Ovis aries: one gene and its partners. The protein of the gene in region 1 purifies or fractionates together with the protein of each later gene. This does not show direct contact. Links are inferred from orthologs where the notes say so. Each region holds a gene or a part of one and is shown in the gene's direction. Other genes may lie near its edges.

The links.
Region 2: the proteins of PRR3 (region 1) and DAXX purify together in Homo sapiens (co-immunoprecipitation; 3 studies listed by BioGRID and IntAct, with this or other methods). This does not show direct contact. The link is inferred for Ovis aries from reciprocal best matches to the Homo sapiens genes PRR3 and DAXX.
Region 3: the proteins of PRR3 (region 1) and MRPL20 purify together in Homo sapiens (co-immunoprecipitation; 3 studies listed by BioGRID and IntAct, with this or other methods). This does not show direct contact. The link is inferred for Ovis aries from reciprocal best matches to the Homo sapiens genes PRR3 and MRPL20.
Region 4: the proteins of PRR3 (region 1) and YTHDC2 purify together in Homo sapiens (co-immunoprecipitation; 3 studies listed by BioGRID and IntAct, with this or other methods). This does not show direct contact. The link is inferred for Ovis aries from reciprocal best matches to the Homo sapiens genes PRR3 and YTHDC2.
Region 5: the proteins of PRR3 (region 1) and RPUSD3 purify together in Homo sapiens (co-immunoprecipitation; 3 studies listed by BioGRID and IntAct, with this or other methods). This does not show direct contact. The link is inferred for Ovis aries from reciprocal best matches to the Homo sapiens genes PRR3 and RPUSD3.
Region 6: the proteins of PRR3 (region 1) and DHX37 purify together in Homo sapiens (co-immunoprecipitation; 3 studies listed by BioGRID and IntAct, with this or other methods). This does not show direct contact. The link is inferred for Ovis aries from reciprocal best matches to the Homo sapiens genes PRR3 and DHX37.
Region 7: the proteins of PRR3 (region 1) and METTL17 purify together in Homo sapiens (co-immunoprecipitation; 3 studies listed by BioGRID and IntAct, with this or other methods). This does not show direct contact. The link is inferred for Ovis aries from reciprocal best matches to the Homo sapiens genes PRR3 and METTL17.

What each region holds. Positions count from the first base shown.
Region 1 is NC_056073.1:27,530,346-27,532,904, reverse strand, and holds the end of PRR3 (proline-rich protein 3), read left to right. Parts: intron 1-207; coding exon 208-498; intron 499-773; coding exon 774-880; 3' UTR 881-2,059; downstream 2,060-2,559.
Region 2 is NC_056073.1:7,643,072-7,647,134, reverse strand, and holds the start of DAXX (death domain-associated protein 6), read left to right. Parts: upstream 1-1,263; 5' UTR 1,264-1,506; intron 1,507-1,736; exon of another isoform or gene 1,737-2,051; intron 2,052-2,082; exon of another isoform or gene 2,083-2,208; intron 2,209-3,042; exon of another isoform or gene 3,043-3,045; 5' UTR 3,046-3,094; coding exon 3,095-3,301; intron 3,302-3,450; coding exon 3,451-4,063. UniProt on the Homo sapiens protein: Transcription corepressor known to repress transcriptional potential of several sumoylated transcription factors. Down-regulates basal and activated transcription.
Region 3 is NC_056065.1:50,449,560-50,453,679, forward strand, and holds the start of MRPL20 (large ribosomal subunit protein bL20m), read left to right. Parts: upstream 1-1,320; 5' UTR 1,321-1,381; coding exon 1,382-1,468; intron 1,469-1,553; coding exon 1,554-1,664; intron 1,665-2,214; coding exon 2,215-2,292; intron 2,293-3,899; coding exon 3,900-4,073; 3' UTR 4,074-4,120.
Region 4 is NC_056060.1:2,411,301-2,414,800, forward strand, and holds part of YTHDC2 (3'-5' RNA helicase YTHDC2), read left to right. Parts: intron 1-3,385; coding exon 3,386-3,500. UniProt on the Homo sapiens protein: 3'-5' RNA helicase that plays a key role in the male and female germline by promoting transition from mitotic to meiotic divisions in stem cells.
Region 5 is NC_056072.1:16,849,285-16,853,460, forward strand, and holds the start of RPUSD3 (mitochondrial mRNA pseudouridine synthase RPUSD3), read left to right. Parts: upstream 1-1,376; 5' UTR 1,377-1,394; coding exon 1,395-1,495; intron 1,496-1,802; coding exon 1,803-1,942; intron 1,943-2,848; coding exon 2,849-2,893; intron 2,894-3,017; coding exon 3,018-3,117; intron 3,118-3,921; coding exon 3,922-4,029; intron 4,030-4,109; coding exon 4,110-4,176. UniProt on the Homo sapiens protein: Catalyzes uridine to pseudouridine isomerization (pseudouridylation) of specific mitochondrial mRNAs (mt-mRNAs), a post-transcriptional modification necessary for their translation.
Region 6 is NC_056070.1:50,903,202-50,906,701, forward strand, and holds part of DHX37 (probable ATP-dependent RNA helicase DHX37), read left to right. Parts: coding exon 1-167; intron 168-1,928; coding exon 1,929-2,040; intron 2,041-3,500. UniProt on the Homo sapiens protein: ATP-binding RNA helicase that plays a role in maturation of the small ribosomal subunit in ribosome biogenesis. Required for the release of the U3 snoRNP from pre-ribosomal particles.
Region 7 is NC_056060.1:24,452,300-24,456,284, reverse strand, and holds the start of METTL17 (methyltransferase-like protein 17, mitochondrial), read left to right. Parts: upstream 1-1,185; 5' UTR 1,186-1,216; coding exon 1,217-1,297; intron 1,298-1,441; coding exon 1,442-1,595; intron 1,596-1,681; coding exon 1,682-1,816; intron 1,817-2,493; coding exon 2,494-2,572; intron 2,573-2,826; coding exon 2,827-2,908; intron 2,909-3,221; coding exon 3,222-3,295; intron 3,296-3,753; coding exon 3,754-3,848; intron 3,849-3,985. UniProt on the Homo sapiens protein: Mitochondrial ribosome (mitoribosome) assembly factor. Binds at the interface of the head and body domains of the mitochondrial small ribosomal subunit (mt-SSU), occluding the mRNA channel and preventing compaction of the head domain towards the body.

The sequences.
Region 1 (2,559 bases):
TGTCCCTTCTCTAGCCTATCTTAGTGGGAACACAGGTGTGCTTACCTTGGTAATAGTTGAGTTAAGGACTTAAAATTGTGTATTTCTGGTGTATATATTGTACTTCAATAAAATGTTTTTAAAACAAAATCAGGGTTGCATTATCTGTATTAAGCTGGCCATTGATGATCTTCCCGTGTCTCTCTCTGTCTCTGTCTGTCTCTTCAGCTTTTCACAGAGGTCCTCCGGGATCAAGGGGACCAATGATCCCACCACTGCTGAGTCTCCCACCTCCTCCCCGGGGCAGAGGCCCAATTCGGGGAGGCCTAGGCCCCAGGTCTGGCCCATATGGTCGTGGTTGGTGGGGGGTCAATGCCGAGCCTCCTTTCCCTGGACCAGGCCACGGGGGTCCTTCCAGGGGAGGCTTTCACAAAGAACAGAGAAATCCTCGAAGGCTCAAAAGCTGGTCTCTTATCAAGAATACCTGCCCACCCAAGGATGGACCCCAGGTTATGGAAGGTGAGGTCCATTTTTTTATGCCTGCACACATTTAATACCCATCACTCCCAGAGCGACCTCATGCCTAGAATACCCATGGCTCTTGTGCTTTGGGTTGTCCTTTGTCCTTTTGGAGTAGGAGTAGCCCTGAATGTTTTTTCTCCCTCGAGAAAGTCTGTCATTCCATAATACCTGGAAATGGTAGCAAGTAGGAAATCTGACCTTCTCTCTCTCTGCTTTTTGTTAGATTTGTTTGTTCTTACATTTTAAACTGCCCGATTTTTGCTTGTTCACAGACAAATCTGACCGCCCCGTCTGCCGACACTTCGCCAAAAAGGGCCACTGTCGATACGAGGACCTCTGTGCCTTCTACCACCCGGGCGTCAACGGGCCCCCGCTGTGAGGCCGCCTCCCCACCCAGACTGGAAGGGGCCCCCGGCCTGGCGGCCACGTTCTCCCCTGCGGCCCTGTGCTGGCCACCGTGAGGCTGTTCCTCGCGCCACCCCCAGTCAGTGACGCCCACCCCCCTCACCGCCCCCTCCCACTGGGGGCCCAGAGTTGTGTTCCATGACTGGTGTGCGGTGTGCACTCTTCTGATCCAGCCTCCAGAGACATCTCCAGGACCGTCCCTGCTCCATTCAGCTGCCTCCTGGGTCCTCCTCCCCCTCGCCGGCTGACTGCGGAACAGGAAACCTCTTTGGTGCTGTTTCTTGTGCATCTGTCCACCCAGCCCCCGGTATCGCCCTGGATTCCTGAGAGCCCTGGAGCAGTTTCCTACCATCCCCTCCTCGCTGCTTGTTTTTAAGTCCTTTTCGTGTGACACCCCTGCCCCAGCGTGGTCGGCGGCCCTGTGACGCCCGTCCGGTTGGCTGACCTGGGGTCAAGTGTGGATGACTGGTGCAGAGTCACTTCCCGAGAGGCCACACTCCCCGCTCTTGGATCTGGTAGTTCCTGCGTCAGTAGCATGATCCCCACCGCTGTGGTCTGTGCTCACTGTGCTTTGTGAAACTCTGCATCCCCCTGCCCCTCACCCCCATAGCCTTTCTCAGTGTCCGTGGCATTTTCGTGACCTCCCAACACTAGAGTAAGTTTTTCTGCCAAAATGTGTGGGGCCGTTGGTGCCGCCTAGACTTTCCCCACCCCCCGACGAGGAAGAACTGTGAAACTCCACAAGACCGCCTCCCTGGTCGTCTCATCCTCCCCATGTCGGTTCCTCGGGATTGACACAGGCCCGAGAGATGTCATCTGAAGGCTCAGATGGGCCTCTCCTCTCTCCAGCCCATCTTAGACTGCATCATCGTGAGGCCACCAGCCGTTTCATTTGAATTCTGTGAATCTCCACCTGGCCAGTGGGTGGAACTCGGACAGTACTGTCGCCCTCTTCCAGCCTTCTTCCCCTGCATCCCTGGCACTGGTTGTTTTCTGTGAAAACGGCAGTGAACAGGTTCAGTTTTGAACTGGCCCTGAGGAAATGGGTCAGGAGTTGTGTGGGCAAGAGGGAGGGATGAGAGCTGTTGGAGAACTGAGAATGAATTTTTTTTTTTACATTTTTTTATATTAGTAATAAATGCAGTGGAAACAAGCATTTTCTTTAATCCCTGTGTTGCGGCCATCTCTTGAAGTGCAGAGGAGGCTGGGAGTCAGTGTATGCTTCACTTAGAATGTTGACATGTTTTTCCCAGTCTGAAGAAACCAGCGGGGCCCCTTACCCTGTGGAGATCAACCGGACCAGCTGCATTATATTCAAGGGCTAAGTTTTGTTGGAGAAAGGAACGACCTGTCCATGGAGTCATTTTTAAACATTTTACCTGTGTTTATGGTTATAGAGTGGAGGTGGCAAAGCAGTCTTTGAGCAAATACTGGTAGAGTGCCTGTGGGCCAGGCAGCATACAAGACACTATAGCAATAACAGAGAGCCAAAATCAATGAACTTAAAATCTACAAGAGGAGACATGTTCGTCAAGTCACAAATATGTGTAATGTACCTGTCTAAAGTGCTGTGAAGAAGCGAGACATGGGGGAATACGTAATAACGATTCTGGGGAGGTGACAGCTGAGACAAGCTTTGAGGACAAGCAGAAG
Region 2 (4,063 bases), about 20 Mb from region 1:
AAGCACAGAGTCTTAACCACTGGATGACCAGGGAAGTCCCCTATCACGCTTTCTTACACATACATATCATAATTGAGATGAAAAATATTATTCTTTCTTGTGACCATAAAACTCTAGGTTTTTAGAAATATTTCTTCTGGGTTATCATTACAATTATTATGAGAGCAGAAGTGATAAAATAGCATAAAGATTGTACACATTTTCATAACTTAAAAGTACATGTAAAATGAGATAGACGAGATGGTGTTTATGATGCCTTAAAAGAAATAGGCTACATGTCATTTTTTTAAATTAGAGGATAATTACATTGCAATATTGTTACATTTCTATTTAAGACAAGGTAAGGGAAATCCCTGATGGTCCATCAGTTAGGACTTGGTGCTTTCATTGCTTGCGCTGGGGGCCAGTTCCATCCCTGGTTGGGAAACTAAGATCCCTGCAAGATTCAGGGCGTGGCCCAAAACAAACAAAAAACAACCAAGGTAAAACAAGGTAAAGTTATCCCTAGATTTCATGGTTAAGAACTATACCTTTTTTCTTTTTTTCCTTTTTAAATAGAGAGGGAGAAAGTCTATTGTAAAAGAGAAAAGGAAGGAGAAGCTCTAGTGCAAGCATTTATTCAGGAAAACAAATTTTGGGAAAACTGAGACTCTGGAAATTAATCCTTTATATGTCCCAAATCCAAGTATCCTTAGGCGAGTCTCCGTGTTCCCCAATTTAAGACTACAGGCTTAGACGACTGGAGAGAAGTGGTGTAGGATTCTTTAATGGGAGTGAGGGTTTGAGGGTTTGGAACTCCTGAGGGCTTGGGGATGTAAGAGACTGTGGTCCTAGAAAGTGGCAAGATGCTCACCCTCTGTGGAATTCTCCAGGATGCGGGAAACTGAGAGATTGGAACCATGTTAACCTTTCCGGTTTCCTCAGAAGTTCACCTCTGGGCCCAGCTTTGCCTCTTCGAGCCCCTCCAGTTTCCGTAAAGTTGGTTTAGGGTGAGGGTGTGGGCGAGGCGGGCGCCAATGTTGGTTTCTTCTCTCTTCCTTCGTCAGCTCTCCCAGAGGAAGAGGAGGAGACGAGACTCAAGGTATTTTACGAGCCTCGAGCCTCGTTTCTTCTCACAGCTCTTACAGATTCTGCTCAGAGCCCCCTCCCCACATTGCCTGTCCTCAGGCCCTAGAGGTCCTGGACAAAGCACAGCCTCCTTGTCATCAGCGCCTGCGCCTCGGGAACCCCCTCCAGAAAACGGCGGAGAACCAACTAGGTCCCACCTACTTGGTTGGTCATTACTTCTGTGGTGGAGCTTGGAAAGCACGCCAACAATCGCAATAATAAGAACACATTTGTATAGCGTGTTGTGCTCGTTTGTATGCGTGTGTTACGACTTCATGATTGGGAGATGTAGGCACCTGGATGTAGAAGTAGCTTCTGGGCAGCTGCAAGGGAGCGCGCAGACCACAGAAAGAAATGACAGGTACAGTCGACTGAGCCGCGGAAACCGGGACCTGGCAGGTAGGAAAGTAGCGCCACAAGGCTTGTCAAAAGCCCAGCGGCTAGGAAAGGTTTCATTTCCCTTTTAAGACACTCCTGCCTTTCCGTGCCTCCCTGTTCAGCCTTGGAGGGCCCAATTCCTCACCCCGCGCTGTTCCGTTATTTCCTCCCCCGACCCGGCCCCCCGCCCCCCCACGTAGAAAGGTGGATCAGTCCTCCCCGCACGCGACTAGCGGTGGTTGGGCCGGGATGCGGGAAGTTTCTGATTGGCGGAGTCGCGGAAGCACCGGGTGAAAAGAGCTCCACTGACGGCGGGCCCCGCTCCCGGCGCAGCCAGAGCCGTACGCCAAGATGGCGGCCCCCAGGTATTCAGGACGCCCGGAGGCGACAAATCCGCCCCCTGCAGGTCAGGGTGAAAGGAGCCGCAGACGAGGTGGGCGGCAGGGGAGGCTCTAGGAGGGGCGGCCCTCCCTCCCTGCCTGCCTGCCTGCCTGCCGGCGGCACAGGATTCCGTGCGACAATATGGCCGCGCCCAGAGCGTGTGGGCGGAAGCTCCGCGGCTTCCGGTAAGAAGTGGGGCCTGCGGTGGGAGGGGGAAGGAAGACGGAGGGAACCATGCGAGGTTCTGAGATCCGCGGAGAGGGTCGCCTCGAGAGACCGTTTCTGAGGTGGGGGCCGGACGGTGTGGGGAGCGAAGGCGGGGGCAGGACTGTCGAGGGAGAGGTACTGGGGAGTCCCCGGCGCGGAGTCTGAGGGGCAGGCTGTGGGATCCTCCTTCCTATCCCTGAAGGGGAGTGGGGCGGCCAGGGGCTGAACTGGGGGAGGGGGACTTGGCGGGAAGCTCATTTAGGGGAAGGACTGGACTCAGGGCTGGGATCTGAGAGAAATCGGGAGAGCCCAGCGTGGAGCTCACGATTGGTTACAGGTCACTGAGAGAGAATGGGGGAAATTAGGGTGGGGTGAGAAGGAGGGGACTTGGGGTGAAATATCTTCAACCTAGCGCTTCGGTTTGAGGAGACCCATCAGAGGGTGGAATATAGAGATAATTTAAGTAGGAGAAAAGGGAATGGATTGTTGGGAGGGAACCTCCTTCTCAAGGGGTCTCCGAGTTGGGGTTATCTTTCAGAATGGGGTGAGAGTATAGATTTGATATGTGTGAGAGAGAGCGAACAGGGAAAACGGTGGTGCCAGCGGGGCTGTGGTGTCTGTTCGAGAGAATGTCAAGGAAATCTGTAGTGCAGCGAGAGAGGTCGTCCAGGGGTTGAGAGGAAGACTCAACTTGGCAACTCTGAGAAATAGTGGGGAAAACGAGACTGAAAGACCGGATACATGCGTGGGGGGTGGAGCTGGAGGTGGGACTTCAGGTTTTCAGAAGGTTTGGAACTCCCCTAGTAAAGGGCCGGAAAAACGTACAGTACTAATGCTTGCTGAAGCTAGGAAATGAGGACACTGTTGGGCATGGCTGGGTGCTTTTGAAACCCAAGACTGGAAAACGTGTGAGATGAAGGGATGGGGCGGTGCTGGAGGGGCTCTGTCTGAGGCCCCATCCCCTTCCAGCAGGAATTACGAAATCCCCAACACTTCCTCCCTCCGGGGGATTTGATCCCCTATGGCTACCGCTAACAGCATCATCGTGCTGGATGATGATGATGAAGATGAAGCAGCTGCTCAGCCAGGGCCCTCCCACCCACCCCCTAATCCGGCCTCACCCAGGGCAGAAGCCCCTGGCTCCTCTCAGCCCCATGGGGCTGGAGGAAGCAGTAGTTCGGGCGGCAAGAAATGCTACAAGTTGGAGAATGAGAAGCTGTTTGAAGAGGTGAGCTTTAGGGGAGAAGACTGTCGTGCCCCAGGGAGGGGGATGGCTGCTTGGCTCTGTCCTTTCTCCCCCACTAACCCCACCTCACCTTTCTCTCAACCCTATCCTTTTGTCTTTTTCTCCTCCCTTTTCCCCCGTGAACCTTCCAGTTCCTTGCACTGTGTAAGACGCAGACGGCGGACCACCCTGAGGTGGTCCCGTTCCTCTATAACCGGCAGCAGCGGGCCCACCCTCTGTTTTTGGCCTCGGCGGAGTTCTGCAACATCCTGTCTCGGGTCCTCTCTCGGGCCCAGAACCGGCCAGCTAAGCTCTATGTCTACATTAACGAGCTCTGCACGGTTCTCAAGGCCCACTCAGCCAAGAAGAAGCTGAACCTGGCCCCTGCTGCCACCACCTCTAGTGAACCCTCTGGGAATAACCCTCCCACAGACCCCTCCTCGGACCCAAATGCTGAGACCACTGGCTCTGAGGCCCCAAGGACCCGTGGTTCCCGGCGGCAGATCCAGCGCTTGGAGCAGCTGCTGGCACTGTATGTGGCAGAGATCCGGCGGCTGCAAGAAAAGGAGTTGGATCTCTCAGAATTGGATGACCCAGACTCCACTTACCTGCAGGAAGCAAGGTTGAAGCGTAAGCTGATCCGTCTCTTTGGGCGGCTGTGTGAGCTGAAAGACTGCTCTTCACTGACAGGCCGGGTCATAGAGCAGCGCATCCCCTACCGTGGTACCCGTTACCCAGAGGTCAACAGGCGCATTGAGCGGCTCA
Region 3 (4,120 bases), on another chromosome or scaffold:
GAGTCTTCTGCAACACCGCAGTTCAAAAGCATTAATTCTTCAGCACTCAGCTTTCTTCACAGTCCAACTCTCACATCCATATATGACCACTGGAAAAACCATAGCCTTGACCCCATTACTTCATGGCAAATAGATGGGGAAAAATGGAAACTGTGACATAGTTCATTTTCTTGGGTTCCAAAATCACTGCAGATGCTGACAGCAGCCTTGAAATTAAAAGACATTTGCACCTTGGAAGAAAAGCTATGACCAACCTAGACAGCACATTAAAAGGCAGAGACATTATTTTGCTGAAAAAGGTCCATCTAGTTAAAGATATGGTTTTTCCAGTAGTCATGTATGGATGTGAGAGTTGGACCATAAAGAAAGTTGAGCACTGAAGAATTGATGCTTTTGAACTGTGGTGTTGGAGAAGGCTCCTGAGAGTTCCTTGGACTGCAAGGAGATCCAACCAGTCCATCCTAAAGGAAATCAGTCCTGAATATTCATTGGAAGGGCTGATGATGCTGAAGCTGAAACTCCAATACTTTGGCCACCTGATTGAAGAACTGACTCATTGGAAAAGACCCTGATTCTGGGAAAGATTGAAGGCAGGAGAAGTGGACGAGAGAGGAAGAGATGGTTGGATGGCATCGCCTACTGGATGGACATGAATTTGAGCAAGCTCCAGGAGTTGGTGATGGACAGGGAAGCCTGGCATGCTGCAGTCCATGGTGTCACAAACAGTCGGACACAACTGAGCGACTGAACCGAACTGAAAACTACAATTAAATGAAAAGTTACTAAGAAATTGCACACGCCCACTTTGCCTCTTCATTATTTTCCGTAATAATGGTAATATAGTGGTTGTTGTTCAGTCGCTAAGTCGGGTCCAACTCTGTGACCCTCATGGACTGTAGCCCGCCAGGCTCCTCTGTCCACGGGATTTCCCAGGCAAGAATACTGGTGTGGGTTGCATTTCCTTCTTCAGGGGATCTTTTCTATCCAGGGAACAAACCGACGTCTCCTGCATTGGCCTGTGGTAAAACAGTGACAAAATACACACGGGATAAAACCTGTCATTCCAATCATTTGAAAGTGCTCAGCTCAGTGGCCCAATGGAGACTCTGCCCCGCTGTGAAAAGCAGCGTTGCTCGGGTCCGCAGAAGGAACCACTCTCTGCCACCCTTCTGCTGGACCCCCGCCTAGGCCCGGTCGCGGGAGGGCCCACCACCCCGCCCCCTAGCCTGAGCATGCGTACAGAGGCGGGTTGTCGCTGCGGGCCCGAAGCGCACGCGCGACGGCCGGAAGTTCTCTTGAGGAGGGCTGAGTTGACCCGGAAGCTTTCGAGGGGTGTGGCGGCCGAGCAACACACGCCTTGGTAAACGGCGGTGCCGGCGTCATGGTCTTCCTCAGTGCGCCGCTCTGGCTGCGGAACCGCATCACCGACCGCTACTGGAGGGTTCAGGAGGTGCTGAAGCACGCGCGGGTGAGTGTGCCGCGCGCTCCGCTCCCCTGGCCGGCCCGGCATGCGCGGGCCCCGCCGACCGCATCCTCTCTCGTTTCTTAACCAGCACTTCCAAGGGAGGAAGAATCGGTGCTACCGGCTGGCCGTCAGGGCTGTGACGCGAGCGTTCGTGCGATGCACGCGAGCCCGCAGTCTGAAGAAAAGGAACCTGCGGACGGTAAGCGCGGCCCTCTCGGCCTCACCCTGCCCTCCTGAGCCCGCGGCGCCCTGCAGCCGTGGGTGGCCCCGACCCGGCGAACCCTCCCGCCCTCGCAGCTTTCCCGACGCAGCTTTCCCCCCTGGAGCGGACGCCACTGTCCACGTAACCCCGGCCCTTCGCGGGGCCCCCGCTTTCTCCCCTCCAGGCTGCTCACCTCCTGAAGCTTCCACCCTGGAGCGCTCCGTCCCTGCCTGGTAGCACCCGTCTCAGTGGCTGTCCTAATTCCCACACAGGGATTTTTTCTACACCCGGAGTGGTGTCTGCCCCAGCATCTCTCGCTGATTTTTGTATTCCAGCTCGACTGTGCGAGATGTGAGCTTTACACCTGGCATTTGGACGAAGGGTACCAGGCTTTGCTCACTGTTGTTTGCAGTGCAGCCTGCATAGGCCACTGACTTTTGTATCTGCTTTTACAAAAAATTTTTTTAGTTCAGTCAGAACCTTTGCTGGGAGGTGTGGACGTGACATACAGCTGGTTCTCAAACATTTCGACGTTTTCTCATTTCAGCTCTGGATTAATCGAATTACAGCTGCCTCCCAGGAACATGGTCTGAAATACCCAGCATTCATCCTCAATTTGATTAAGGTATGGTCGAGGATGTGGTCCTGCTGAGACATTGAACGTCTTTATAACCCGTCCAGTTTTCATGCTCTAGCAGGCTCCACCGTGGAGTATTAGCAGCCTAACACTGTTTTCATTCTTTTTTTGGGGGGGGGGGGGGGCGGCGGTGTCTTTATTAATATTAGAGAAATCCAAGATTACAGAGGACTTAAGAGTTGGCATTGGGGCCCACTGCTTTCACTCTTGGGGTGGGGTTCTGGTGGGTTCTGGGGTTCACCTCACTTGCTCTTTCATTGCCCTGCTGGTAGCAGAATTAGTAATAGGGTGTGTGGTACCAAGACACAATCATGTTGTTTCCCCATCAAGAATGAAAAACAGAAAAACTTTGCTTTAACTTTGAAGTTTAATTTCAAATTTTTCATGTTGAATAAATTATGACAAGGTGGCAGATCAAGTTGAAACATAATTAAATGTAGCAAAACATTTGGAATGTTAGAGTAAGCAAGTGTCAGAGCATCTCACTCCCTGGCATCTAGACAGTATGCCATTTCCTCTGCTTTTTTGGCTGCACCCTATGACATATGGAACTTCCCCCCAACCAGGGTTCAATTCCTAACCCTAACCAGGGAGGAAACCTGAACCCCCTGCAGTGGAAGTGCAGAGACTTAACCACTGGACCACCAGGAAGTCTGTCCCTACTCCCTCTGCTTTCTTATGAGTTAAATTTTTTCTTAAAAAGCTTGGGGAGTAGGTGAGTTGGTGCTGTGCTTCTTCCTGTGCCAGGTGGGCCTGGCACTTTACAGAGATCCTCAGGGCAAGTGTAGGTGTGACACTTCCATTTTACTCATGGGAAACTGGCTTAGAAAGGAGAGGGATTTTGCACAGGGGTCCTAGGTAGTAGGAGTCACTCCTGCACAGCTGCATTTAATGTCATAAGACCACCCCCTTTTTTTCCCTGCACCTCAGACTCACAGGCACTGTCCATTGGTTTTCTATTCTCTTACTCGACAGATGACTTGGGCTCTCTTACGGAAATTAGGAATGCCCAGTTTTGTTTATTTCTGGCTGTGCTTGGTCTTTGTTGCTGCATGTAGGCCCTCTCTAGTCATGGTGAACAGGGTCTAGTCTCTAGTTGTGGCACGTGGGCTTCTCATTGCAGTGGCTTCTTTTGTAGGGCAGGGGCACTAGGCCAACAACAGGCTTAGTTGCTCCACTGCATGTGGGACCTCCCCAGATTAGGGATTGAACCCATGTCTTTTGCATTGGCAGGCAGATTCTTCACACCACTGAGCCACCTGGGAAGCCCAGAATGCCCAGTTTTGGTCCTTGTGCTTCTGTGCCTCACATTCCTTTTCCATGTGTCATTTTTCACCATTTATACAATGGAAATTGTGGTTTCCTCTTCCCACCTGTCTTAAAGGGATAACTTAGGCCAGGAATCTGGCATTGGGAGCTGCGCCCTTCCCTTCTATTCACGTGTCCTACTTGGACAAGACTCACAATGCCCTCTCCCCCACTAGTGCTCAAGCAGTATGTATTGGTGACTGAAATCACAGGGTGATCAGCTGCATTCAGAGTCATTTTATGTTTCACTGAAATGCTAAAATATTTAACAAAGATTTTCTTCCCAGTGCCAGGTGGAGCTCAACAGGAAAGTACTTGCAGATCTAGCCATCTATGAACCAAAGACTTTTAAATCTCTGGCTGCTTTGTCCAAAAGAAGGCGAGAAGAAGGATTTGTTGCTGCCTTGGGGGATGGGAAGGAGCCTGAAGGAATTTTTTCCAGGGTGGCACAGCACCACTGAGGGGGACGCTGATAGCAACGGCCCTTTGAGCATCCTCCTGTGATGAT
Region 4 (3,500 bases), on another chromosome or scaffold:
TTTGTTAGAACCCAATTTGTATTTCTTTATATCAGTTAAAAATTTTTTTTTTACCTTGATAGAATGGATAACAGAGACAACGTTCTTGCCTGGAATACTAGTTTGAACAATATAGTGGATATTATCTTTGTGCTAAGAATATTATTTCATTGTTAAAAATTGAAACTAGAGATAATGGAGGCATAAAAGATATGTAATGCTTATTGTTTTTCAAGGTTCAGATGGAATATTTAGTACCTACCATCTTTTGATCTGATTTTACTTATTTGAATGAAGCTTAAAGGCATGTTATCAGTTAAGATTTCAGTAAAAAGCAATAATACATGCTGGATTCCAAGTTTTTCATATACAACATTTTAGGAATAATTCAGCCAATTGCTTATAATAATGTGTGTCCCTAAACCATTTTCTCTTATGTAGATACTGCCAAGCAAAAAATAAAATAGTAAAAAATACATTTTCTACTTAGATACTCCTCTTTTTAAAAAGATTTTTTGAAAAATTTCCTTGAATAAGAGTGATTTCGAATACATGAATACGTTTGCATAGAAATTATGTGGTAGACTTATTTATAGACTCCTCTGTAAAAAAAAATATATATATATATATATTCAGAGGGACTGTTTATACACACATGTGTTTATATACGTATATATACATACTATACACATGCATTTATGAGGAAAATTTTCCTATTTTCTTTATAAAAGTAATATATACTTGTTTAATAAAAATTAGAAATACAGGAGAAAATCATAATTATAATAAAGTATAAGAATAGTTATGCTTTAGAAACTGATTATCTTATAAATTCATTTTTCCTCCTATGATACCAGTATCTGCCATTTTCCTTTCCTTATAGGTTGTAGCTTTGCTTTCTTTATTCTCTTATCTGTTGAACAGTGAGATAAAGAATTTCATATACTTTTAGACTTTGTAGTTTTAATAGACAAGGCCTGAAACTGATATAGCTTGGTGAGGAATAGATTAAGGACTCTTCTGAAGATGTATTTTTGAATGGTGAATAATCTTTCTTTATAATCTTTCTGGAATTGCTTCTTGAAGAAAAGGTATTCATAGTATTTATAGTTAGAGTTTTCATACTAGGATGGCAAAATATAGATCAGTTAATTTCTTTTAATAAAAACATTTTATTAGTTATTTTTAAAAGTTTAAGAAACTATTAAAACATGGAAAAATGCCCATATCCCATGTTAAAATTAAACCAATGTTTTTAAATTGTCATTTTTTACATAATAATTTGCTTACAAAGAATAAACATCTTTTCTATAAGAAAAATGAGATATAACTGAGTTATCAGAATTCTTTGTTTGTTTTGAATGAAATTGTAGATGGAAAGGTTTATACAAATGCTTTGTTTCTACATGCATGAAATTTGAGGGGGAGCCAAAATTTGGGGAAGAAGAGAGAAAAGCTAGAATAGAGCACAGAATCAAAGATCAAATTGGAAACTGCAAAAATGGGCATTTAGTTCTATTGGAAGCATCATTTTTATTTTAATAAGATATTACCCTTAATTAAGTTCTGTTACCTAGTTTTCAGGTAAATAATCTGCTAGCGTAAGAATGATGGAATTTTAGAGGTATAACTTGATAATTCATTGAACTTCAATTCCTAAAGACAAAAGCCCTGAAAAGTTGTTTTTTTATATTTATCAAGTTCTTAATAATTATTCACATGTTTATTCATTATATATTTTTGTTAGCATTTTTAGGCTTTAGCTATTTTATTTCATTTGTGAAAGAAATATTGAATCCAAGATATTTATTGAAACAGAAGCAGAATGTGGGGATAAGCTATTTTAACTTATTTTGAAGGCAGAGTAATTATAATTGCAAGGCTCAGTGGAAGTTTATGAAATGTTTATGACTTATTCTTTTTATGTTTTGTTTATGTATTATATGTAAACACAGCAAAGCAAATGATTGTTGTTTAGTCTCCCATTTGTGTCCAACTCTTTGTGACCCTGTGGACTGCAATATTCCATGCCTCTCTGTCCCCCACCATCTCCTGAAGTTTGCCCAAGTTCATGTCCATTGCATTGGTGATGCCATCCAGCCATCTTATCCTCTGACGATTTTCACCTATTTGCTGTATCTACCCAATTATTTTTTTCTTGCTTCCTTCCTTTTTTTGTTCACATATTTCAAAATCAGTCTCTCACATCATGTCATTTTACTCCTCTGTATTTAGATTTGAATCTCTTAAAAAATAAAGGCATTTTTCCTATACAATCAAAATCCAATAATCAGTCCCAATAAAATAATCATTTCCCCAATTCTCAAACTATATTTATTTGAAACAGCATTCAGGGAGGACTCACTCATGCACTGTATTAGGGTGTCTTGTTTCTTGAATCTCTTGTGATCTAGAGCAGTTAGTTCCTTTGTTGACTTTTCTTAGGAAACTAGGTCAGTGGTATTATGACATGTACCACATTCTGGATATGTCTCTTTTTATTGCTATACCCTGCGTATTTCATGGATGTGGTTAGCTCTCAAAGCTTGATTAGATCCAGTATTTTGGCAAGAACATTTTTTTTTCTTTTGGCAAGAATATTTATAGGTAATGCTGTGAACTTTATATTATACTGCTTTAGGAATTACTTAATGTCTTCTTTGTTTTTTAATGTCTGGTTTTCCACTGAGATGTACGCTTTTAAAAAAATTATAAAATTCTTGACTGCCATTTTTGCTGCATTTATTCATAGAATTTTAAAACAGAAGAATCTTAGCATTTATCTAGTTTAATCCCTTTATTTAACAGCTAAAGGATATTAAACCTCAGATAAATTAAAAGACTTGCCCAGGATCACCTACCTCATTAGTTGTAAATTTAGTTCTGTCTGAAAATCTTCTCTCCTGACTCTAGTCCAGTATTATTTCCATTTTGCCATGCTGTAATTTTTAGTATGCTTTTGAAATCTGTTTGGTTTTAAGATATATGCAAATGGAAGAGAGGTGGAGTAGGTGGTTTTCTAGTAACGGCCATTAGCATAGATGTATTTAAATAATTTTAAAATGTTAAAAGACATTAGGCATCAATATATGACATTATAATTGTTTAGGATTTCTTATAGACTGTCATAAAAGAGGTTAGGAGTTTTGTAAGGGAAATAATACTTTGGTATCTAAATTAAAAATTTTTATAGGTTGTTTTTAATATATTTTTGTATTTTTTAAAAAATGCTATCTTTGTAAGTATACCCTAATAGTACAACCCTTTCTTCTAAATGTAATAGAAGAATGAAATTGCCTTTTAAAATACTATTCCATAAATCACAGAATCATTGAACTTTGGTTTGAAATGGAGTCTGCTTGGATCTTATGTGTAACTGATCTTTGCTTCCTCCTTTTCACTCAAGAGTACTGATGAAATCTCCAGCTCCAACACTACACCAGCCTCAGAAGTACAAAGATAGAGGAATTTTGCATCCTAAACGAAGCACTGAGGACCGGTCAGATCAATCTTCTGTGAAA
Region 5 (4,176 bases), on another chromosome or scaffold:
AAGTAGGTTGTGTCCTGTCCCTCCGTCTTTATTCAGGCTGCAAATTATGAATGCACAGGAGATCTTTCAGAAGAGAGGTTCTAAAATACCGTGGGGCCTTTTTGACACAGCACACTCATGTCTGAGCCCCAAATATGATAAAATCACTTGCATCCTTGCCAAATTTCATGCCAGTCCTGTCTGAATTTGTGCAGATTTATTTAAAAATTGACTGTTTAGGAACTTCTCCAGCAGTCCAGTGGTTAAAAGAGTCCACACTTCCACTGTAGTGGGGTGTGTTTGATCCCCGCTCAGGGAACTAAGATCCTTCATGTGGTAGTGCCAAAGGAAAAAATAAAAAGAAAACTTCTTGAACTGAATAAAAATGAAAATACAACACACTAACTTAAAAATTATTTTTAAAAATTGACTACTTAAATCTTTGAATTAAAAAAACTAAGTTTCTTGAGGTATACTTTACATACAATAAAATCTACCCTTTTAAGGTATTTAGTTCAGTAAGTTTTTGGCAGATTCATACAGATATATAATCACTGTATACCAAAAAGTTCCCTTATGCCCATTTTTAGTAGATTCTCATTCCCTCACCCACTCCAGCCCTTGTCATTGTCAACCACTGACTTTCCCAAAAGGTCATGTAACTAAAATCAGAAATCAGTCTTTTAAAATCTTTTACTTCTACTTATTTTTATTATTTATTTTTTTTAATGAATCATAGTCTTTTATATTTTGGCTTAACTTTTTTGTTGTTGTTTTGGCTGCGTAACCTGGCATGAGGGATCTTAGTTGCCTCTTTGTTAATCTGTTTCCAGTTCACAGATGCCAAGGCATAGCATAGAGTTAGCATTCAAAAAATGTTGAATGGGTGAATTTATGTCCTTATGAATCTAATCACAGGACAATTTGTTTACAGTTTTGAGATTTATTTCTACCTTTATAAATAATGCTGTAGTGAACCTGTTTCTGCCTTTGGCCTTTTTTTTCCCCCCTTTTGGATTACGCACCAGGCTGTATGCTTTGAAGCAGGTTCACTGAACAAATGAGTGCGGATTTTGTTTTTTCCAATTTGCCTTACAAAATTATGCACAGTGGCGGTTTTTTATTTTTTTTTAAGTCAAAAGACTCCGAAGAATTGCAATGAGGAGAAAACCTGGCTTTGTCCTAAGACCGGTCCTCTGACCTGCAGTAAATACCTGCTCGGCTCTGTGCTTCGGTTTCCTCAAAGTCACAGATCGTGAACTTCTGCATTTCCTTCCCGGTTAAAAGCAAAGCTCCTCTTTCTCACCACTCGGTGCCTAGCTATTCCGATTGACAGTCAATCTGACCAATCAGCGTGCTGTGGGAGATCCCGGGGCAGTCCTTCCGGACTCAAGCGCACTGTCTTCGCTCCGCAGATGGGTGGCTGTCGGGTTTTGGGTCAGGCCTGGGGTGGCTGGCGGCGGGGTCTGGGGATCCGTGCAACGCCCACAGCCGCAGGCTTTGGCACCAAGGCCCGGTGATTACACAACCTCCGCCCCGCTTTGTGTAGAAGGGAGGAGACTGGGGCTGGGGGAGGGTAGAGATCTAGATATGGGTTCTAATTCATCTCTGCTGTGTGCCCCTAAACTAGTCGTAGACCTCTCTGAGCCTCAGTTCTCTTTTCGGTACATTGGGGCCAATAGAACCTGAGATTTCGGGAAGCTCAATCCAGGCTTCCTGAAGCATTCATAAGAAGCCGCAGGGTTTGGGAAGATGTGTGTGGAGATAAGAGTGGGCGGCACTTCCGGAAGCAGTGATTCCTCTGTTTACCTAACCTTTCCCAGGCATCAGCTGCAACGTCGAGGCGCCAGCAAACCGTCGGATCCCCCGGGTGACCAGTGTTTCCCAGGACTGCTGAGACCGGGGACCTTCAGTCGGGAAGAACTGGTCGATGTATTAAGGGCGGCTGTGGTGGACCGTAAAGGTGAGGGGTGGGAGGGACAGGTGCCGAGAGACCTGGAAGGGGAGGAGTCTTAACCCGAGCCTTCTGAGGATCTGGTTCGGTAGAGTACTAAAACCTGTGGGGTCAAATCCTGGTTCTCCCACTCGCAACCTCACGGCTACGTGGGACCAGCTAGCCACGTACTAACCACGTACCACGTGGGACCAGCCACGTACTCTCTCTGCCTCAGCATCATGGGATGCAGCTGTGGGGAGGGAGAGTGTAAATAACCAGAGAGCTTTGCACTAGTAGGCTCTCAGTAAAGTGTTAATGTATTGGGGGACAAAACGGGCTTTGGAGTCATATCTAGCTCTGTGATCAGCTTGCTGTGTGGCTTTAGGAAAATAACAATGTCTCTGTGCCTCAGTCTCAAGTGATTTATGAATTTTCTCAGCTATTTATTGAGCACAGGCTGTCTTCCAGGCACTGCTCTAGAACAGGGCTGTCTGGTGCTGAACAAAATAAATATGGTTCCTGCCTTCAGGGAGCCAACCTTTCAGTGGGAGAAAATGATTAACAATAATATAAATGAAAAAAATACTTACTAGTGATCAGTACTGTTAATAAAACAGCGGTGGTAAGGATCTGCAAGAAAGGAACAGACATCAGATTGGAGACCCAGGCCTCTTTGTGACAATCACATTTGAGCCATGATGATATAAGGAGCAAGCCACGTGAAAATCTGAGACATGGAAAGCAACAAGTGCAAAGGTCCTGAGGTTGAGGCAGCAAGCTGAGCATATGCAAGGTTCAGAAAGAAGTTCATTTCAGGGCGTGGTTGATAACTCCGGTATGAGAGTTGTACTGGGACCACATGATAATATGAATTGAGAAAGTCTTTGTAAATTGCTTTTTCTGTTGCTGATGCTTATGTATTACATGTTTCAGGACCTCTGGTGACACTGAACAAGCCACAGGGTCTGCCAGTGACAGGTATGGGCAGGGAAAAGAGATGCAGTGAAAGGGGTTTTGATGTGTCTGAGAGCAGACAGTATCAAAGAGAAGGGATGTTGCCTCTGAGAGCAACTTTTACTCTTCCTTTTTTTTTTCCACCTAGGAAAACCAGGAGAGCTGACATTGTTGTCAGTGCTGCCAGAACTGAGCCAGTCCCTGGGGCTTGGGGAGCAGGAGCTCCAGGTTGTCCGAGCATCTGGGAAGTAAGTGGTGGAAGTGATAGAAAGGTAGGAAGATAAGCATCTATTTGGGATGGGGGCAGAGCCACTTAGGAATAAACAGACATTTTCCACTGGCTGCTTTGGGATCACAGAGGTAGGAAACAAAGAAAAAGAGGAGGAAGTGGACAGATCTGGGTTCAAATCCTTATGTACAAACTGATCTTAGGTGTCACTGAGCCTTAGTTTCTTTAACCATAAAACAGAATTCACAACATTTGTGCTCAGTGTATAGTCACTTCTCCAGTCCAGTATTCATAGCCGGCATTGTTAACTGATCTGTGATACTCTTTCCTCTAATAGCCATTGTTAGAGATGGTGCTTGAGATGAGATGTTCCTGCAGTTCCACAAACTCATAAGCTTGTTTATGGGGAATTGAGCCATTCCCTTCTCCAAGGGATCTTCCCAACCCAGGAATCAAACCCAGATCTCTGACATTACAGGCAGATTCTTTACCATCTGAGCCACCAGGGAAGCCCATTTAATAGCTAGTATATATGAAATTCCTAGTAGAGTGCCTATTGGTAGACAGTCAGCAGTTGGTAGTAATTGTTATGATGTTTGGCTCTGAGCTCCCTGGGAGCCAGAGCAAAATGAGAAACATGTTTAAGCTATGTACTCTTATTATCAAACACGGGGAAGACTTACTTGTTTCTCAGGAGGAGGTCTGTGTTGTAGTCCAGATGTTACTCCTCGGCCTTCAGTGGGTCCGTGTTTCTTCCTCAGGGTCTCCTCTTTTTGCGGGTGATCTCAGGGGATTTTAACTTCTGTGATTTGTCTTTCTCCAGGGAGGCCTCGGGGCTTGTGCTCCTCTCCAGTTGTCCCCAGACAGCAAGCCGCCTCCAGAAGTTCTTTGCTCACTCACAGAGAGCCAGGAGACCCACAGCCACGTACTGGTGAGAAGGGCTGGGAAGCTCCAGGGCAGCGGGGAGGTCCCAGCAAGCAACTCTGTGACGTCCTCCTGCCTCTTTCTCAGTGCTGTCACTGATGGGATCCCAGTTACTTCTGAAGGGAAGATCCAAGCAGCTCTGAAACTGGAACAC
Region 6 (3,500 bases), on another chromosome or scaffold:
CTGACCATCCCGGGCATCAAGTACGTGGTGGACTGTGGGAAGGTCAAGAAGCGGCACTACGACCGTGTCACCGGCGTGTCCTCCTTCCGCGTCACCTGGGTCTCCCAGGCCTCAGCTGACCAGCGGGCTGGCCGCGCGGGCCGGACAGAGCCCGGCCACTGCTACAGGTGGGGCTCCCTGGGGCCCCTCAGTGTCCTCAGGGCTACTGTGCAGTGGTCACCCACCCTCGTCCGGGGAAAGGGGGCCCCATGTCCCGCTGGAGGTCGGCACTTGCATCGTTCGTTATTCTGCTACTGATAGCAGGCCCTGTGTTGATTAGCACCTTTGTTTTTATTTTATTAATAGCTTTATTGGCATCAGATTCCCATAGCATAAAGCTCACCATTTTGAAATGTGCAATTCTGTAGATTTTAATATGTTCAGAGTTGTACAACCATCACCACTATTAATTTTCTTCTTAAAAAAATGTATTTTATTTATTTATTTTGCTGTCCCGGGTCTTAGTTGTGGCGTGTCGGATGTAGTTCCCTGACCAGAGAATGAACCTGGGCCCCCTGTATTGGGAGTGTGGAGTCTTAGGCACTGGATCACCAGAGAAGTCCCACTACTGTTCATTTTCAAATATTCTCATCACTGCAAAAGAAACCCAATACCCAGTAATCAGTTTCTCCCCACACCTCCCTACCATCCCCACCCCCCAGGATCTGGCAACCACTATCTACTTCCTGTCTGTATGGATCTGATCATTCGGGGCATTTTCTGTAAAGGAAATCAGACGGTATGTCACCTTTTGTATGTGACGTCTTTCACCCCACATCATGTATTCAAGGCTCATCCATAGCCTGTGTCAGTGCTTCGTTACTTTTAATGGCAGAACAACATTCTGTTGCACACTGGAGGGACCCCATCTGTTCATCGGCTGATAAGACACTTGGATTGCGTCCACATTTTGGCCCCTGTGTATAGTGCTGCTGTGAACACTCATGTACAAGTATTTGAATGTCTGTTTCCATGTCTCTCAGGTAAATACCTAGGGAGTAGAATCTCACAGTTATGTGGTGATTCTGATATTTTGAGGAACACGCCAGACTGTTTCCGCAGCAGGCACCCCATTTTATATTCCCACCTGCAGTGTGTGAAGGTTCTAATTTCTCCACGTCTCACCAATGCTTGCCGTTTTCCACTTCATGGGAAATGAAAGTACAGGTGGTATATCGCAGTGGTCTTGGTTTGCATTTCTCTAATGACATTGAGCATCTTTTCACATGCTTATAGGCCATTTGTACGTGTCCTCTTGAGGGATGTCTATTCAGATCTGTCGTTTATTTTTCAGTCGTGTCTGTCTTTTGATTGGTGAGTTGTAAGTATTCCCTGATGATCCTGTCAGAGGTAGATCCTTGTCAGAGGTATCATTGGCAGATAATTTTCTCCCAGTTTATGTGCTGGTCTTTTTTTTTTTCCTTCAATAACTAACTTTACACTGTTCTTTTCAACTTTGCTTTAAATTACAAAAAAGAAAAAAAAATGAGAAACTATGCAAAGAAAAGTAGTAAGAAATAAAGTGCCAGGCACAGTTCCAAGCACTCTGTGTGACACCTAAAGTATCTTCACCGGGGACTTCCCTGGTGCTTCAATGGTAAGACACCACACTCTCAGTGCAGGGGCCGCAGGTTCGATCCCTGGTCAGGGAACTAGGATCCCACATGTTGCACGCCGCAGCCAAATAAATAAATAAAGTATCTTTCCCAGTCTCGACAGGGTAGCTGCTGTGTTAGCCCATCTCACAGGTAAGGAAAGTGAGGCAGGAAGAGGGTAAATACCTTGCCTAGTAAGGTGGTAGAGTCAAGATTCAATCCCAGGTAGTTTGGCTGAGTCTCTTTGTTTACTCCCTTTTCTTTTTTTAATCTCTGGTGCTTCCTTCTGCTCAGACTCTACTCATCTGCAGTTTTCGGTGACTTTGAGAAGTACCCGCCTCCTGAAATCACCCGGAGGCCAGTGGAGGATTTGATCCTTCAGATGAAAGCTCTCAACATCGAAAAGGTCAGTTGTAGCCACAGCCCTGGCCTCGCTCCAGTGACCTGCCAGTGTCCCTGAGTTCAGGCTGGTATTCTTGGGCAGCCTGAGCCCCCTCATGGGCTGTTCCCCATTCCCTGTGGCCCTGAGAGCTGAGCCACGTGGTGCTCACCCAGCCCCCTGGTGGTCTCCTGTGAGACCCCTACCTTCCCAGTACTGTGCCTTCTGAGGAGAGCGTGGTCAGTGACCTTGGGACTCAAGAGATGTTCTGCCCACTTGGTCTTCTAGGGGAAGGGTCACTCGCCTCTCCCCTGCTCCCTGAGGGGTGGTGTAGGCAGAGAAACCCCCTCCCCATCAGCTGTCACTCCCAAGCCTTCCTCCCTCGAGCCACTGGCAACCATGAGTCTTTTTATCTCTGTGGAATTTACATTTTGGACATTTCATAAAAATAGAATCCTTTGATACTTATTCTTTCTTATCTGACTTCTTTCAGTCAACATTGTGGATTTTTGTTTGTTTTAGCCAATTTAAAATTCATTTATCAATTCAGTTCACAGTAAGATAACATCATAAAAGAGAGGATCATGCTTTTCATTACATTAGTATGTTTGGGTTTTTATTTTTCACTGTCAAAGAACCTAGCTGACAGTTTGAATTAGTTTATTTCGGAAAATATTGTCAATTGATAGCTGTTTCATATTTCTGTGTTTTGGTCATCCACAGCTGAACTTACCAGCGGTTGTGTTTTAAAGGTTTGTCCACACTGACACACGTCAGAGTTTCCTTCCTTTTTATGGCTGAATCGCACTCCATTGTATGGATGGATGGACCATAGTTTGTCCAACTGTTGATGGACATTTGGGTTGTTACCACCTTTTGGCTGCTACAACTAATGCTGCCATGAACATTTGTGTACAGCTATTTATTTGAACACTGGTTTTGAGTTGGTCACTCTTTCTAAGCAACCCTCAGGCAATCCCTGAGCCTGGTCGCTCTCTGTTCCCCGATCACCTCATTGTCTGGGCACATTTTCTCCCGTGAGACTGTTTATTCACGTGAGACTGAGTATCACTCACTGGTCATCTGCAGTGAAAGCTCAGTGGGGCCAGAGCCCTTGTCTCGTTCGTATTATTTTTTTCATTTTGTTTTTATTGGCGTATAGTTGCTTTACAGTACTGTGTTTATTTCTGCTCTACAGGAAAGTGAATCAGCTATATGTGTATGTATCTCCCCTCTTGCTTGGATTTCCTTCCCGTTTAGGTCACCACAGGGTGCTGAGTAGAATTCCCTCTGCTATACAGTAGTTTTTTGTTTGCTCTTTTATGCATAGTGTCGGTAGTGTTTACATGTCAATCCCAATATTCCAGTTCAGCCCTTGTCTTGTTTTATCAACCTCTGTCACCAGGAACAGCACCTGGTGCACATGAAGTGCTCAGTACATGCTCTCGAGTAAGAGACAATGTGAATGAATGAACAAAAAGAGCCTT
Region 7 (3,985 bases), on another chromosome or scaffold:
TAGATGTAGATGGCGGTGGTGGTTTAGTTGCTAAGTCGTGTCTGACTCTTGCAACCCCATGGACAGTAGCCTCCCAGGCTTCTCTGTCCATGGGATTCTCCAGGCAAGAATACTGGAGTGGGTTGCCATTCCCTTCTCCAAGGTATCTTCCCAACCCAGGAATCGAGCCCAGGTCTCCTGCATTGCAGGCAGATTCTTTACCAACTGAGCTACCAGGGAAGCCCCCAGATAGAAAGTACCAATTTGTCATCAGCACTTGACAAATTGGCACTTGCTAACTTGCATTCTATGTACCAATACTACCAGCAGAGCATATGTTTAAAGGTGAAGATCAGACTTAGATTGCCAAGGTTTAGAACTTGTTCTCACCTAACAAGCTCTTGGATCTCAAGCGGAATATTTAGCCACCTGAACTTTCACTTTCCTTGGGTGCAAAATCTATCCTTTAGAAGTATGGGGACTAAATAAGGTAGTACCATATAACAGCGCTTGCCACACTACCTGTCACATAAGGTTCTCATGGTAGCTATTTACCTGGCTTAAAAGTACTGGTTTAATATTAAGAGAAACTAACAAGTAAGAAACATTAAATCTATTATCTATTATTCCATCAATTTGGTCGCCTAAATCTGGCTTCCCTTGATCATCTTCCCATTACTGCAGTCTCTCCTGGAGAAGGAAATGGCAACCCACTCCAGTACTCTTGCCTGGAGAATCCCATGGAGGGAGGAGCCTGGTAGGCTACAGTCCATGGGGTCGCAAAGAGTCGGACACGACTGAGCGACTATACTTTACTCCATTTCACACAGGAGGTAAAAACTCTAAGACTTCAGTGTTCTCCAGAAGGTGAAAGAAAGAACACTGGTAGTTAATACAAACACAAATCCTTCGCCGTCCTGTGACGCGTTTCTGGCGAACCCAGCATAGGGTCAGCCCATACCTACCTAACCCCGCCCCTCCAATTTCTGGAGGCGGAGACAAATCACAACGCAGGGTGGAAGTCACCTAGCTTCCGGCTAGCTACGCTGGAATTGAGGTGCACAAACGGCCTCCAAGGCGATTTACAGATCGATTGTTTATTGGCTACTAGCAAGCACTCGCTCTCCGCATTGGCTGTTACTGCCCGGCGCCAATGTTCGCGCAGGATGTTCGCTGCAGCTAGTGAGAGTGACAGACACTGCACCTAAATTTCCGGTTCCGGTTCACCGCTGGCGCCATGGCGACCGTTAGAGGGTCGCGGTATCTGCTGACAATAGGCAGATGGCGCCGCAGCTTTGGAATAGCGCCCCAGTTCCGAGTGAGTACCTATTTTCCCTGCTTTCAAAAGAAGCTTTGGACCTCAAGAACAGCTCCTCTCCGAGGAGGTGCGCTTTCGGCAGCTCCTCCTTTAGCCTCCCGCAGCCATCCTCTGTGCCCCCTATTAGCTTTCCTTTTTCTGCAGGCGCTTGCTGCCCTCGTGCCCGGCGTATCCCACGTGGATAACAAGTCCGATTTCCTGGGGAAGAGGCCCCATCGCCGGCACCCTGGCATCCTGCAGCTGTCATGCGTGCGGCTGCCGCAAGGATTGGCTGAAGCCGCGCAGTTACTGCTGCTAGGTGAGTAAAGATGGGAAATGGAAGCTCAAGAAGCGAAGATTGGACCCTGCGTACAAGTGATTCCTCTTTGCATCTTTGGTCCATAGAGAGCTCGATGCCCAATATGGAGAAACAGGTGCAAGCCCTAACCAATTATCTCTGGAGCCGGCATTTACCTGTAGAGCCAGAGGAGCTACAAAGACGGGCTGTTCTTCTTGAGAAAAAAATCCTGGAAAACGCAGGTAGGTCTTTTCAAAAATAAAGAGTAAGCCAAATAGAAAGAGCAGAGGGAAATGAAGAGCTAGTAATAATTCTGCAGCCTCTTAAATAGATACTGCGATTTCTTATTTGACTTTCTAATCAGAGTAGTTATTCATAATGTTGCCTTTCTAAAAGAAGAAAAGTAATTTCAGAGATTGCCTATTAAATTCAGGGCTTTAGTAAAGATCAATGAGTTATTCCCTGACTTCTTGTAGTACCTGGTTTGTAGTAGGCACTCCGTAGGTAAAATAGTACTGAAGTGAACACAATTGTAAGACAAGTTTTTCAAGCCCCTTTCCTTCCTATAGGAACTTTGGAGACATCACATTATTAAATTGGGGGGAAGTGAAGAAATCTACAAAGTACTGTCTATCCTATCCTTTAACTTTTTATTACACTTGCTTTTAATACAGAACAAAACCTGTGAGATAGAGTTGGTTGAATTGAATGAATTGCTGTTAGAGGCAATATATTATCTGATATACTATGGTGGTGGTGGTCATTATTATTCTTACCTGAAACTCTTCTCTAGTTTGGCTTCTCTCTTAAGCATTTTCCATGTGGGAATTGGTAGGGAATGGCAGGCAGTAAATTCAGATATTGTATCTGAGCCCTGTTCTTCCTAGGTCCTTACTTCCAGTGCTTGTTCTTACCCCAGACTCATGTCAGACAGAGAAACATCATGAAGAAGTCCTGCGTGCCTTGCGCAGAACTACCTATCATTGGCAAGAATTGAGGTAAGGGAGACTAGAAGGGCTGCAGAAGAAGGAAAAGTTTGGCTTTTGAGAAGGAGAGTTGGGGAAATACAATTACACCATTTAGTGTGTGAAAAGGCAATCTGGTTTATAAGCCTCCCTAAGACTTGTCTGTGTTGATCAGTGAAAGGGTTGAGCTGGAAGAGCCCTTTGCAAAGATTTCATTTCCTAAAAGTCTGGAGGGTAGCTGCAGGATAGAGATTAATTCCCAGTGGTATGTCTGATTTTTCTGGCAGCTACAATGAGGGACTGAGCCTGGTGTATATGGCAGCAAGACTGGATGGTGGCTTTGCAGCAGTTTCCAGAGCTTTCCATGAGGTGAAATTCCCTCAACTTCCAACCAGAAACTTTACTATCAGTTCCCTTTTTCATAAAGTAATCTGGGGCAAGATTCTTGGGACATTACATGTGCATTTTTTTCGAGAGGTTGTCTTTATCCTCTGAAAGGAATTTTTGACCCAAAAAAAGGTTTAGAATCACTGTTCTAAGACCTTTCTATTCTATAAGGCATTTACACTGAATCTTGACATTCACAGCTCATTTCCTCTGTTGCGGTCCCCTAATTCATGTTTACCAAGACCCTAAATAAGTGTCTGTCTTCCCCACTGTGGGGTATTGAATATTTCTTCAGATCCAAGCTCGCCTTCCAGACTTCCAGCCACAAACCTTGATGGACTTTGGCTCGGGTACTGGCTCTGTCACCTGGTGAGTATCTTTCTCTGTCTCTGTCAGTTCCAACTCTAGAGAGTTAGAGCTAGCTTATGCCACGTCAATATCAAGACACTGGAGAACCAAAGGAAGAAGAGAAAATTGGAACTGATGTGTTTCTTCCCTCAGATTAGACAAGGCATGAGAAGGTATATAAATTAGGGTCAGAACTTAAAGAAATGTCAAGTGAAAAAACCCACATTTAGAAGGATAAAAAAGGAAAGGAATTTGATCTCGGACAGGGATTTACATGTCAGCAAGATTTTTGTGTGTGTGTTCATATAGTTTTTGAGTCTTCTTAACAGTTGTAGATGAAACAAGAAAATAAGATTGCTAGTTTTTCCAACTATTTTAACATAGCGCTCTGTTTCCTCAAGGTTGGGTTAGGGACAGAGGGGTCTCTTGTAGGAATAACTTTGTCGTAAGAACTGAAGATTTATTTTTTGCCACTTTAGGGCTGCTCATAGTACTTGGGGTCAGAGCCTACGTGAGTATATGTGCGTGGACAGCTCAGCTGCCATGTTGGAATTGGCAGAAAAGCTGCTGAAAGGTGAGGACAAAATGTAAGGAAGGGCTTTTCCAAAGTTGAAGGCATTTGCAAAGCAAAGGAGTACCAGAAAGGGTCTTTTACTGGGGAGTAGAGGAGAGGCCGGAAAGTTAAAGATGGGTCTGATGCGATGACCCTGT